Linked DNA regions of Tamandua tetradactyla. The protein of the gene in region 1 purifies or fractionates together with the protein of each later gene. This does not show direct contact. Links are inferred from orthologs where the notes say so. Each region holds a gene or a part of one and is shown on either strand. Other genes may lie near its edges.

The links.
Region 2: the proteins of RUNX2 (region 1) and SMAD1 purify together in Homo sapiens (affinity purification with western blotting; 3 studies listed by BioGRID). This does not show direct contact. The link is inferred for Tamandua tetradactyla from reciprocal best matches to the Homo sapiens genes RUNX2 and SMAD1.

Annotation. Positions count from the first base shown.
Region 1 is NC_135331.1:103,056,421-103,063,586, forward strand, and holds the start of RUNX2 (runt-related transcription factor 2), read left to right. Parts: upstream 1-4,062; 5' UTR 4,063-4,175; exon of another isoform or gene 4,176-4,214; intron 4,215-4,377; 5' UTR 4,378-4,442; coding exon 4,443-4,500; intron 4,501-7,166. UniProt on the Homo sapiens protein: Transcription factor involved in osteoblastic differentiation and skeletal morphogenesis. Essential for the maturation of osteoblasts and both intramembranous and endochondral ossification.
Region 2 is NC_135348.1:22,612,602-22,619,992, forward strand, and holds the start of SMAD1 (mothers against decapentaplegic homolog 1), read right to left. Parts: upstream 3,096-7,391; 5' UTR 2,820-3,095; intron 2,309-2,819; exon of another isoform or gene 1,626-2,308; intron 1-1,625. UniProt on the Homo sapiens protein: Transcriptional modulator that plays a role in various cellular processes, including embryonic development, cell differentiation, and tissue homeostasis.

The DNA.
Region 1 (7,166 bases):
ACAAGATTCAAACCTGCTAGGTATTCATTAGTGAGGATTAATATCAATATTCCCTAAGGAAACTTTAAGAATCTACTTTGAGACTTTATAAATGTCAAAACAGAGAAAGCGAAACCAAAAAACCTGAAGTACAGTGAGGGGTAGAGAGGGAGAGACACGGAGGAGAAGGAGAAGGGGGTGGGACTGGGGGGTAGAGAGAGAGAGGAGAAAGAGTTTATTATTTTCAATGTCCACATTATCTCACATTTAGACAGGTAGCTGCTAATACAAACCAAGCCAAATTGTTCAAACAATCAAGGAATTGGTATTGCTTTGGGTTCTTACATAATTCAAATGAAACAAACTAAAAAAACAAACAAACAAACAACTTACAGAAAGTACCACAAACTGCTACCATACACACACCCACACATATGCAAATAGTATATACACAGACATATACCCCATAAAAACAAGGAAATGGAACTAATCTCTCCTAATCAAACATAGTTTAAAATATTAATGAAACTATAAATATTTACTAATACAAAAAACTTTAAATCATTACTATAAGGGCCAGTAAATGCTATATAAGCTTGAACAGCTATACACAGGTCAAATTTCAAAAAACAAATTGTCACATACTAAATGGAAACGATATATATGAAAGTTCTTTGCTAAAGCCTCATACTCTGTGAGAACATTTTAAGCCAGATTAGCACATCTACAGTTTATAAAATTCTAACATCAAGTTTTGCTTCTATTCTTTACAAGTAACAGCAAACAGGCCTGCAAAGCAATCCTAAAAAAAAATTAAATAAAAACAAAGAAATGAGAAACTAAAGCTTCTCTATTAAAATATTACAATTAGTTCAGAAAATAACATATAATTCAAAAGGCAACAATGAAGGTATGTGCAGCATTGAAAACTGTTCATAGTGTTTATTTTTTCTAAATGTTTTGATATTTTAATAAGTTCAACCCAGTCTAACAAATTTTATTTGCACAAGGTAATGGGAAAGCAAGATACTAACTTCTTCACTTTTTGCAATTGACTTCAGGTTCAAAGGTATATTTCACTTCTGTGGCATTAAAGTACTTGATTTATACAGTAGCCTTAAATTTGCTACTTACTTAAACATAGCAGGCACTGACATATCCCAAAAAGGATGAAGTTTGAGGGTTTTAAAAGAAAGTGGGGGTAAAAAAGCTGAGGTTTTCATTTCTGATGGTATAAATCTATAATCAAGAGCTTTATTTGTACAGGAACTTTAATGAATCAGTCTCTCTTAATCACATGTAGTAAGCTATTTCTAATGAAACAAACTGTCAGTTATTAAATGCATACCAGTTATACTTTTTTTTAAAATTTTTAATGCAAAGTGACAGTTGGGCACCAAAGAGTATATATTTTCGACTTAGAAGAAAAATACATGTGAAAAATAAATATACAGACTTTAAAGCATATGATTTCACTATCTTTCTGCTGCCAAACTTTGATAGGCCTCATACAGGACAGAAAGGAAAGGGCACACTTAACAATATCTACTGAACTCTTTTGCAATAGCAATGATGACTCTGACCCAAAGAATTATGTGCAGGAGGATAACCTGCAAAAAGAGAATAAGCAGTTAGAAGATACAAAGATGTTGAAAATTACTCGAAGTCATATAAGGTCAATGAGGGGTGGGCAGAGGAGCAAGGCATTCATAATAAAAAAAAAAAGTTTTAAGAGAATATTCAGCAAAAAGCTGGGTTGTCAGAATATCAGAGGACCCTGATGCAAAACTACAAAACTGATTCTAAGAGAAGGAAATCATTTACTCACCATACTATAACAGCTACTTAATTTTTTTAAGTCTCCTAATTCTGCTGCTATTTTATGCACAGAAGAATCCTATGTTTGGAAATTACACAAATTGCATGGAAAAAAACGCACCTTTTAATATACTTTGCAATTAAATATATCGATCAACCAGCACACTTTTTTTTCCAATGGGCAGGCACCAGGAATCGAACCCCAGCACACCTTCTTTATGAACAGAATAAGTGAATAATTTCTTTTCTCCCTTTTGCATGAATAAGTGCATGTTTAATCAAAGTTGTTTTCTTTTAACTTTTCAGCGTGAAATCTGTTTACACACACAGTAAAGCATGACAAATCTACATTTAAAATAAAACATCAAAAGGAATTTCTGTTTGGGCGGGCAACAGTGGCTCAGTGGCAGAGTTCTCGGCTGCCATGCCGGAGACCCAGGTTCGATTCCCACAGCCTGCCCAAGTAAAAAAAAAAAAAGGAATTTCTGGTTATCACTAAAAGTTTATTATGAAAACCTTACAGACATTTCAATAATTAAGGATTAAAATCAATCTGTGTTTTCCCAATGCATTCTGAACAAATCAAAATTCTTTTAAAGAAAATTTTTAACATGTTTGTACAGTTATCTCTAATATAAAACAACAGCATATAATGAATTGTGTTAGGAATACAATATTTTAGCTGAAACACCCTTTCAGAGAGTTTCCCCAGCTTTTACTATGTTATACACCTAAAAAAATGTTTTGTAAATCACAGTCTCCACCCACCCTCTCAGTCATTTACTTCAATGCCACTCCCAGTTACTATCATACTAGCAAGAAGCCTAAGACATGCAACTTCAGTGGCATGGATAAATGACAAAAAATGTCTAGAAAATTGGATTGTTCAGCTTTATAATTTTTGTTGAAAAATGCCCCATCACTTACAACTGATGAAATCAGGAAGCCCTATTCATAAGTATAAAAATCATTGATATATAATCATCCTAATAAGAAAATGAAAATGAGTTCTATACATATGTCCAAACGGGCAAAAAACATCTCAAATATGTTTTCAATTTTTTTCAGGATCAAAATTAGCAAACTGAGATGACTAGCATACTCTGTCTGTGTGCATTATTTTTTACTACATACCTTTTTGTAATTTATTTCAAAGCTTCCATTATAAACAAAAAATACATTTTCCATTAACCCACTCCATCCTGAACTTACACAATCTAAATTACAACATATTTTATTTAATATGTTTATAAGGTATTTAAGATGTCTTATCAAAGACTCTGTCAAAGTTAATAGCCAAATAAACTATTTAAAGAATTATACAACTGAACACATTTCCTTGAAAGTTAAGAATTATTACAATCATAAAGGAAAAGAAGACATCCACTAAACTGCTGTAATTCTTGCCATTCATTTGTATAAGACCCTCAAACTAGTCATAACATAAAAGTTATACATTATAAAAGATATAAAAAATACTTTAAATCTTTATTGTAGGACCTGCTATCTAACACTGATAATACATAAACTAGAGACATGATTTAATATTTGTACAAGAATCCCCAGACTAACACTTTCATGACAGCCAATTACAGTCCAGCCCAACAAGCAGTTTGCCACCAGACCTTAAGGTAAATTTTTTTACAATGAATTACAGGTTCACAAGTTTAAAAAGACAAGAAAAAGAAAAACAGAAGAACTCTAGCCATCCAGCAAATATGAAGCAGACCCCAGAACGTGATACAACCCAAAGATGTAAATTACTGTAAATCATCACTGTTGTTCAGAATTTCACACAGCCACTTGACCCAATTTTGCTCATTTTTCCATAGACACAATAATGAACTAAAAGAAAGAGGCAAAAGAAAAAAAAAAAGGAGGGGGGGAATGGGGGTGGTGACAGAAAGGAAAGACCTTAACTGCAGACTTCAGTTCTACAAATGCTTAACCTTCAGGAGTTTGGGCTCCTTCAGCATTTGTATTCTATCCAAATCCTCATGAGTCACAAAAATTAAAAAGCTATATCCTTTTGGATGCCAGGAAGGGCCTTACCACAAGCCTTTTGTCAGAGAAAGAGAGAGAGAGAGAGAGGGAGAGCAAGAGCAAGGGGGAAAAGCCACAGTGGTAGGCAGTCCCACTTTACTTTGAGTACTGTGAGGTCACAAACCACATGATTCTGTCTCTCCAGTAATAGTGCTTGGAAAAAAAGGAGTTTTAAAGCTTTTGCTTTTTTGGATTGTGTGAATGCTTCATTCGCCTCACAAACAACCACAGAACCACAAGTGCGGTGCAAACTTTCTCCAGGAGGACAGCAAGAAGTCTCTGGTTTTTAAATGGTTAATCTCCGCAGGTCACTACCAGCCACCGAGACCAACAGAGTCAGTGAGTGCTCTCTAACCACAGTCTATGCAGTAATAGTAGGTCCTTCAAATATTTGCTCATTCTTTTTGTTTTGTTTCCCTGCTTTTCACATGTTACCAGCTACATAATTTTTTGACAGAAAAAAATAAATATAAAGTCTATGTACTCCAGGCATATTGTAAAACTAAAACAAGGTTTGGGTATGGTTTGTATTTCCAGTTTAAGGCTGCAAGCAGTATTAACAACAGAGGGTACAAGTTCTATCTGAAAAAAAAGGAGGGACTATGGCATCAAACAGCCTCTTCAGCACAGTGACACCATGTCAGCAAAACTTCTTTTGGGGTAAGTGTTATCATTTTTAAAATCCTATAAGAGATGAACCTGTTAAACATAAATGTATGTTTCTTAGATAAATTGCTAGCTTTTCAGGATAACAGTATATTAAAGATATTAACAATAATACTATTCTGTTGAAGTAAAAAATTGAAAATGAAATTGATGTACATATTTGTATATGGCATCTGTATTCTCTGAATAACTTGAAATGGACAAAAATTAATCATTTTTTATTAATCAAAATGTTTTGGGGGCTATAGAAATAAGAATGCTAAAACAGTAAAAGAAACAGCTTAATATTCTCATTTAACCCTCTCTGCAATAAAATGAAGCACGAAATTAATCAAAGTATTATAAATTATTGACTCCAGAAGCTCGCAATATTTGAGCAAAAACTTCAAAATGGAAGCAATCTTACAAAATAACCGAGCACAGATTTATCCCAACATTATGCTCTACTATGTAAAACAGAGAAAGAAATAAACGTACAATACAGTCAGTATTTGAACCAGCTCAACTAAAAGAACTCTATTTATAATTTTAAACTGAGTAAGATATCTGCACAAGTTTGTTTCTAAACAACTATATAACTGAACCATACATTCAATGAAAATAAAATTGCACTAAGTATATCATAGCCATTTTTAAAAGCTCTTTATAGTTGCCTAGGATATTAAGTTTACAGAAGTCTCTAAAAACTAAAATGGAACTGTATTTTCCTATATAATTTTAATTTTACATTTACACTGTTATCCATACGTAGAATTGTTATAAACACATAGCAAATACTGAAACTTCTAAGATTCTTTTAGTAACATTCTTAGACCTACCAAAATGAATAGCATTTTATTTCATGAAAAATAAAGCTCTATAAGAATACTCTGCATGATTTTAAAGAGCCATGCTTATTAATTTTGCTGGACTTTTAAAAGAAAACAGAAACAATACAGTCTCTTAATTAATTTCAAGTTAGTATTGATATAGATAAGTAAACTACTCCAACCTTCACTAGTTGACATAGTATCACAGCAAAATAGCTAAACACTTACAATGTTTTCTTTATGATGTCCAACATGTTCCAAATACAAAGCAAGTTTTGAAAATATCCTGTTTATCCTTTAAAACAAATCCTTTTGCTGTGTATACCTCTGTAACTTACAACTATTGATTGGAGTTTCCTTTACTCCTCCTCCTCCACACATTTTAACTGGCTAATACTTGAGAATCAGTCTTAGTTTAGGTCAAATAGAAATAATTAAACCTGAAGGGGGGGGAGTTTCACTTAAGGGATGAGGAAATATACTCTATATTTTGCAAAAAAAATCTAAAATTATTGTAGTGGCTCCCTCAATAGCTGTAAGCGAGCTCCCTCAGCAATATAATAATCACAGATTGTTTTTAAAACTTCATGGTGGGTAATTAAGCATTAGTCTAAAAATTTCTGAGTTAAGAAAGTACAACAAATATAACTAGACTGTATTATACCCCATATTATAATTACAGCTTATGCATGCGAACTTTTGCTGTTACTACCTAAGAGATGAGGAAAAAAAGCTGTTTAAAATGATTGTTAGTAGAGGGATAACTTGAACAGGTACATTAAGCAGTTAAGTTACTCTTTAACAATATTACTCTTTTGCAAAAATACATTTCTAACCAGATGAGGAAATAACACAAGCTTGAAGGAAATACTTTAGCATTGGAAGTAAAGCTATTAATATTGGCACAAACGGTATGTTAAAATGCTCCTTATTTGATCATATCAGAGGTTTTATATTTCCCTGATGTCCTTAATAACCATTTCTAGTTAAGATTTCTGAAACTTGACCAAGTTTCTATACAAGGAATAATTGTGAAATAAGCAGATAAAAATCACCTTCTATTGCATGTCATATTTTTAATTAGACATTATAACTAATTCTTCCTCTTCTGAAAAGTGGATTTCACACCCTCCTAACCCCTAAACCCCTCCATAGCATCTTAGAGCCTAAACAGAGAACTTAATATGAGCCCCCTACTTCAACCTAATTACAGGTGGGCAGTGGACAGCGTATCTATGTTATCATCATACTGCAAATATTTCCTCATTCTATAGTCTAATCAAAGTCTAAAACATCACTCAGGCTTTAAATTCTAAAATGAGGATTATAAGCACCAACTAATGCAGTATCCGAAGTATGTGCCCCAAACTTGTGGAATAGCTAAAAAGAAAGTTAAAGGCTTTCCTAGGTGAGGAACAAACCACATGTTAACTGACTGTCTCTCCTCAAATATGAGTGAAAAATGTGTGTGTGTGCGTGTGTGTGTTTGTATGTGTATGAAAGAGAGTGATTCTGTCTCAGTGTTCTTTTCAGAATACCATTTGCCTTGAATTAATCAAGAAATTTTCAAAATCTGTACTCAAAATCTTTTTTCATAAATAAAGCATGTTGAAAATTACAGATGTGACTCATGAAGCATCATATAAATAAAAATTTATTTATGAAAATACAACGGCTAACTGATTAAATTTCTACATGAAACTTTTGCAACTGACCTGAGCAAATGACTGAATATAATGTATGAACCCCAATTTCCAAAACAATAGTTATGGTCCATATAATGATAATTTTACAGTTTCAAGCTCTAATAGTGACAAAGTATCCTAATTGACTTGTAAAATAAGACAGCTA
Region 2 (7,391 bases), on another chromosome or scaffold:
GAAGGTCCCCGAGGCCAAGTTAAATTCAAGCTCACATGAAGCACAATTCAGCACAGAGATCAGAGCGGCAAAGACGGTTACCAGCACCCTCAAAGCATTTCTTTACTGCCAAATGTAAAGCTACATTTACCTTTACAAATGCAAAGCTACACTACAAACTGAACATCTCTGCTTTTATCTTCAATTTTTTTCAGAAACTCAAGAGTTCTGTAAGCCTTTCCCTATTTCAGAAACACTAATGTCTTGGTCACGTAGGCCTTTTCACTATAAACAAAATTCACGTACCACCCATATCTGAAGTATAATGCCAGACTCCTGCTTAGCTGCCCCTGTAATACGGTTTAATTATGATGACTGAACTAATAGGCTGACATCATAGACTTTTACAGGCTGACCCCATGTCATTCTGATGTATCATTTTGCACCAGTTCAGTGCTGTAAATCAATTTAAGATCTCAAGCAGGTTGAAAAGGCTGGTAATGATGCTTTCTCTGCTGTCTCTTGAGACTCTACATTATACACAACTTACATTATTTATAAAGCCTCAATGATGCCTCCATTAGCCTTTAAGACTACACAAATGAGATCTTTTGTACACACATGACTTGGCCTTGATTATGTAGACTACTGCAGCTTAAACATGCTCTTCTAAGTAGACTCAAGTTTATTCCTTTTCCAATCTACCAAGTTATTAAATTTTATTTTTAACCCCGAATTACTAGAAATCAAAATTAGAAACTGAAATTTAATTTTTAACTAATAAATGCATTTAGGAAAATAAGACTTATTTAACGTTTTATCTGGTCCTTGTAAAAAAAAATTATTTGAATTCCAAAAAGCGTTAAGACATTAACGTTTTTAATTGCCTAAAATGTGTCACTTCTCTAAAATGCAAAAGTCATCAGCTCTTCGAGGGTATAAAACCAAAGAACACTGCAAAAGGAAAAATGTATTTAGTTACATACCTATGGTCAGAGGGGTCAAAACTAAATCAAGGACAAATCCCTACCCTCAGAGGAAACCCGATACCATCTGGAGCCTCTAGAGGATCACCCACCTCCAGAAAATCATCTCACAACCCTGGTTACAGTTTCCCAAGAATTGCAATATCACACAAATGGTCACTGCCTGCACAGAAATATCAAATAACTGCAAATGGAAAAGAAGGAGGGCGAGGGAGGACAAAAACTTCAATCACTACAGGATATTTAGGTCTTGCACTAGAATAACACAACACTGATGCAAACACATTTACACCCGTCGAAACTGCTGGGGCATGTCAAACGCTGAAGCAAAACTTTGGTTCTGCCTCGATTCCTTTAACCAGTGATTCCACCATAGCTCACCTACCTCCATTAAAATTTAAAGTGGTCATTATAAACAAGACGAAAAATCAACACAGGCAGAAAACAGTTTTCTCACTGTCTTACTGAAGCGTTACCCACGACGATTAGAACAAGAGATGAAATAAAGGCATTCTGTGGTTTAGCAGCTGAGTCTCGGCAAAAGGAAGACAACTTCCCATCAGGCAACTTCTATGTCATTCCACGTACTCTGAAACTTCATACACAATGGAAAGCAAAGAACACGAGTGGAAAGAAAAGGCTGGTTGTCACAGCACTCACGAAAATGAAGCTTTCCTCAGGATACGATTCTGAGACCGACCACAATTTTCAGATGGAAGTGCTCACTGGTTATCTTGCACAGTGTATTTAAAAATCGCATGCGCCTCCAAATAAACAAAAGCCGCAGCGACTGCAGCAGTAGCATTCGGCAGGCATTCGTTCCTCCTCCCTTCCCTAAGTACAGCAAAGAAACGCTCTCCCTTTAAGCCTTCATATATAATAAGCAACTAGAAAAACAAGCCCACGTCTGTCTCTCTCACACCTACCACCCCCACCACCCTACAGAAACAATCCCGAGAAATGCTAACAAAGACAGGGAGCAGAGAAAATGAACAGTTGTTCAACAACGAACTCACAAATTCACATGCAGTGAGGCAATCGAATCCGGTAAAGGGAAAGGAATGAGACGACACTTGAAGACTCAGGGGGTGTAGGCGGAAGAGAAAAAAAAAGAGAGAGAGAAAGAAAATTCACGCGCCGCCAAACCTCTGAATAAATCCGAGGGAACGTCGGTGCGAACTTTCCTTGACCTCGACCCCAAAGTGGCTTGTAGGGGCAGAGGAGGCAACACGTCCGGGATGCGGAGGAGCCGGGAGCACCGGGTGTCCTCCCCCTCCAGACCCGCTCCGCGAGGCGCCCAATGCGTAAAGGGCAACGCCGGCGTCTGTCCCCAAACTCCCGCACGGGTCGCCCCGGCCGGCGCGGGACACAATGGGCCCGCGGGCCGCGCGGACGGCCTCGGCCCGGTTGCAGAAAGGGAAAGAGAAACCGGGAGCAGGCGCAGGGGGAGGGCGCCCGCAGAGGACTTGCAGGGCCGGCGGCGATGCAGGGGGGCCGAAGAACAGCGGTTTCCCCACCGCAGACCCAACAAAGACGCGAGGTGAACCCCAGGCGAACCCTGCCCCGCCGGCTGGGCGCGAAGGGAAGAGGAGGTGGCAGGTTAGCTCCTGAGAGCGGCCAGGAGGCGCCATCATGGGAGGAGAGAGGAGCAGGCTTCCCCGGTCCGCCCCACGCCGGGAAGAGCCCCTCGGACTCCTCAGCCCGCGCCGCCGGCCCCGCACGACCGCAGTGGCCCCGGAGGGCCCGCGCCTGTTGCCGCAGAGGCGGCGGCCGCGCTGAGAAAGCCCAGGGCGCAGAGAGGAGGGCGGGGACGCGGTAAAGAGAAAAGTTGGGTCCGGGTCTGTTTCGTTTTACCGAGTTGGCGGCGCGCCCGTTGTCGCGGGCGCACGAGTGGCCGGACGAACGGGATCCCCGCGGCCCCGGGCCGGCCGGCCGGGCTCTGCGCCGCGCTCCGCACGCAGGCTCCCTCCCAGCGAGCGCCTCGGCCTGGGCTGGGCAGCTCGGCCTCTCCTTCCTCCGCCCGCTCGTTCGCGGAGCCTGGATTGATCTGGTCGCGCTGGCGTCAGGGAGTCGGAGCCGCCCAGCCTCCACCCCTCGGCTGCCAATACCCGGCGAACTCGCCCGCCTGCCCGCTCGCTCGCTCACTCGCTCACACGCGCACCCGCGCGCCACCGCCGCCGCTGCCGCCGAGCGACCAGGGATCCTCTCCAAATTCCCCGCCGAGCCCCACGCGAGCGCAGCGCCTCCCGGGCCCGCGGACGCGGCTGGGGAGCAGTCGGAGCGACTTACTCCGCCCCCAGCCGCACGCCCCCGTTATTCCTGGGAGAGAAAACAGTGTATCCTGCAGGGCCTTCCTAACCTGCCTCCTTCAGTCCTGGTGGAGCGGACGTGGGGCATTAGCTGCAAGTGAAGTTCGGTACTCCCTGTGTTTACTTTCTCAAATGTGCATTAACCCATCCAACCGCGCCCACCGAGCTGCTCTAAAACGTGGACAGCATTTTTGACAAGTCTTTCCAGACATTTTTCACAGCCCTTCTCTCACTCCCTAGTGATTTGCTGGCCCCTAGAAGTTGCACTGTACCCAGAACTGAAGAGCCAAGTAACTATCCATGTGCTTACATCAAACCCTAAATCAAACGTTTTGTGCCAATTGGAGATCCAATGATTGGAATAGGTAACTTCGTTGCTCCAAATAATGACAGATGCCACAAAAGAGTTCTAAACGCTAAATGGTCACTTTGAAAATCTTTTAGTTGACGCTAACCCCAAAAACAAAAATAAAGAAGTTCTTATCGTCTTTATCTGCATAGACATTGAAAATAGCATTTCGTAAGTCAGTTTTTCTTTTGGCAAACTCTCTGGATGCTGCCATGAAATTTTGGGTAATTACCAGAATGTTGAGTTATGCTTAGATGAGAATAATTATTCTGAATAATTTCACATGGACCAAAAGAATTGTTACCACCTTCGTAATATAAAGGAAATACAACAAGCATCATAAATTAATGGTAGTCTTCTATTGCTCGTGTACCCTTACAAAGTTTTTAATTATTTTTAAATTCATTTTCAATTCTTAATTCTTAGTTACTTATTATTTCTGCATTCCATTTTTAATTATTCAAAGGAAATGCAACAAATTCCATAAAGCTTGTAAAATGCTGTTTATAAATTATGTATCAGAATATTAAATTCCTTTCTTTGTTAAAGTATTACTAGGCAATTATTGGACCTCCTCTTATTTTCCCTATCAGTAGGAATTATTCTCTCTATCAGTAGAGCTGATCCCTCTGCTCACTGGAAGAACAACCAAAGTGAACATTATTATGTCCTTGTCAGATCAGCTCACTCCTGGGCTCACTCAAAACCCTTCTTTGATAAATAAATAGTGGTATATCTATGCAATGGAATATTATTCAGCCGTAAAAAGGAATGACGTATGGATGCATTCTGCAAAATGGATGAACCTTGGGAACATGCTAAGTAAAATAAGCCACTCACAAGACCACATGGTGTATAATTCTGTTCATATGAAATGTGCAAAATTGACATGTTTATAGCAACAGAAAGTACACTGGTGGTTGCCTAAGGCCGGTGGGTTAGAGGCTTGGGAAGTGATAGCTAAAGGGTATGGGGTTTATTTTAGGGGTGATAAAAATATATGGATGCACAAGTCTGTAAATACACTAAAAGCCATTGGACTTTACCCTTTAAATGGGTAAATCATGTTATGTGAATTGTATTTCAATAAAGCTGTTTTTTAAAAAAAAAAGACATGACAACTAATACAGTGTACCATCCTTGATTGGATCCTGGATTGGGGGAAAATTTATAAAATGACTTTTTAAAGCTAATGATTTTTTTTAACCTATACTGACCTTTCATGGCATAGTGCTAATGGGCCCAAATAATAACTATTAATATTATGCATGCTAGGAAATTTGACTTTGCCCTTTGCACAGTTTTTTTTCTTTAAATGGTAATAAAAACCCAGGTACCTTTTTAAAAGGTACATTATTGGGACAATTATGAAAACCTAAATGTGGGTTGTATATAGGCAAACCTCAGAGATGCTGCGATTTCAGTTCAGACGACTACAATAAAGCGATTATCACAATAAAGCAAGTCACATGAATATTTTGTTTTCTCAGTGCATTCGAAGTTATGTTCACACAATACTTTGGTCTAGTAAGTGTGCAATTGTATTTTGTCTAAAAAAAAAAACTGTGCATAGTATAACTAAAAAATACTTTATAGCTAAAAAGTACTAACCGTCATCTGAGCCTTTAGCAAGTTGTAATCTTTTTGCTGATGGAAGGTCTTGCCTTGATGTTGATGGCTGTTGACTGCTCAGGGTGGTTGCTGACGAATGGAGTGGCTGTAGAATTTCTTAAAACAGGCAACAATAAAGTTTGTTGTATCGACTGACTCTTCCTTTCACAAGATTTCTTTATAGCCTATGACAGCGTTTGACAGTATTTTGCCCACAGAACTTCTTTCAAAATGGGAATCAATCTTCTCAAATCTTGGCTCTAAGCTTATGTAATATTCTAAATCTTTTGTTTTCATTTCAACCATGTTCTCAGCATCTTCACCCAGGGTAGGTTCCATCTCAAGAACCACTTTCGTTGCTCATCCATAAGAAGCAACGTTTCATCTGTTCAAGTTTCATCATGAGAGTGTAGCGATTTAGTCACAATTTAGATGAATACACATATTTGTATTGTGTATTGATCATTTTTAGAACATGTGCAATCAGTCCAGAAAAAGAAATAAAAAGAAAAGAGAAAAAACTCAAACAGCCCATACCCCTTACTGCTCCCTCTCATTGACCACTTCTATTCATTGAAGGATTATTAACATCTAATTTCAAGATTGTTGCATTTTAGGGAATGAGGAGGCCTGATGTGAGGGAGGGAGGTGGGGGAAGAGCCAGTCAGTGGAGCAATCAACACACAGCATCTTCAAGCACCACTTCTAACTCTAGTTCTCTTGCTGTTTCCACAGCATCTGCAGTTACTTCCTCCACTGAAATCTTGAATCCCTCAAAGTCATCCCTAAAGGTTGGAATCAACTTCTTCCAAACTCCTGTTCTTGTTGATATTTTGACCTCCTCCCATGAATCGCAAATGTTCTTAATGGCATCCAGAATGGTGAATCCTTTCCAGGAGGTTTTTGGTGGCCTTTGCCCAGATCCATCAGCACAGTCCCTATCTATAGCAGCTATAGCCTTATGAAATGTATTTCTTAAATAATAAGGACTTAAAAATCAAAATGACTCCTAAATCCATGGACTACAGACAGATGTTATGTTAGCAGGCATGAAAGCATTCATCTCATTGGGCATCTCCATCAAAGCTCTTGGATGACCAGGGGCATTTTCAATGAGCAGTACTATTTTGAAAGGAATATTTTTTTCCTAAGCAATAGGTCTCAACAGTAGGCTTAAGATATTCAGTAATTCATGTTGTAAACAGATGTGGTATCATCCAGGCTTTGTTCTTCCATTTATAGAGCACTGGCAGAGTAGATTTAACATAATTCTTAAAGCTGCTAGGATTTTCAGAATGGTCAATGAGCACTGGCTTCAATTTAACATTAGCCCCTAACAAGAGAGTCAGCCTGTCCTATGAAACTTTGAAACCAGCCATTGAATTCTTCTCTCTAACTATGAAAGCCCTTGATGGCATCTTCTTCCAATAGAAGGCTGTTTCATCTACATTGAAAATGTGTGGTTTAGTGTAGCCACCTTCCTCAGTGATCTTAGCTAGATCTTCTGGATAACTTGCTGTAGGCTCTAAATAAGCACTTGCTGCTTTTTACCTTGCACTTTGATGTTGCAGAAACAGCTTCATTCCTTAAACCTCATGAACCAACCTCTGCTAACTTCAAACGTCTCTTCTACAGTTTTCTCACCTCTCTCAGCCTTCCTAAAATTGAAGAGGTTAGGGCCTTGCTCTGGGTTAGATTTTGACTTAAAAAAATGTTATAGCTAGTTTGATCTTCTATCCAGATTGCTAAAACTTTCTCCACATCAGTAATGACTGTTTCACTTTCTTATCATTCATGTGTTCACTGGAGTAGCACTTTTAATTTCCTTCAAGAACTTTTCCTTTGCATTCACAACTTGGCTAACTGTTTGACACAAGAAACCTAGCTTTTAACCTGTTTCAGCTTTCAACACGCCTTCCTTACTAAGCTTAATCATTTCTAGCTTTTCATTTAAATTAAGAGATGCGGGACTCTTCCTTTCACTTGAACACTTAGAAGCCATTGGGGAAGGGTTATTTTTTTAACAAATATTTTTATTGACAAATCTTCACACACATACAGTCTATACATGGTGTGCAATCAATGGCTCACAATAGCATCACATATTTGTGTATTCACCACCTTGATCATTTTTAGAACATTTGCATCACTCCAGAA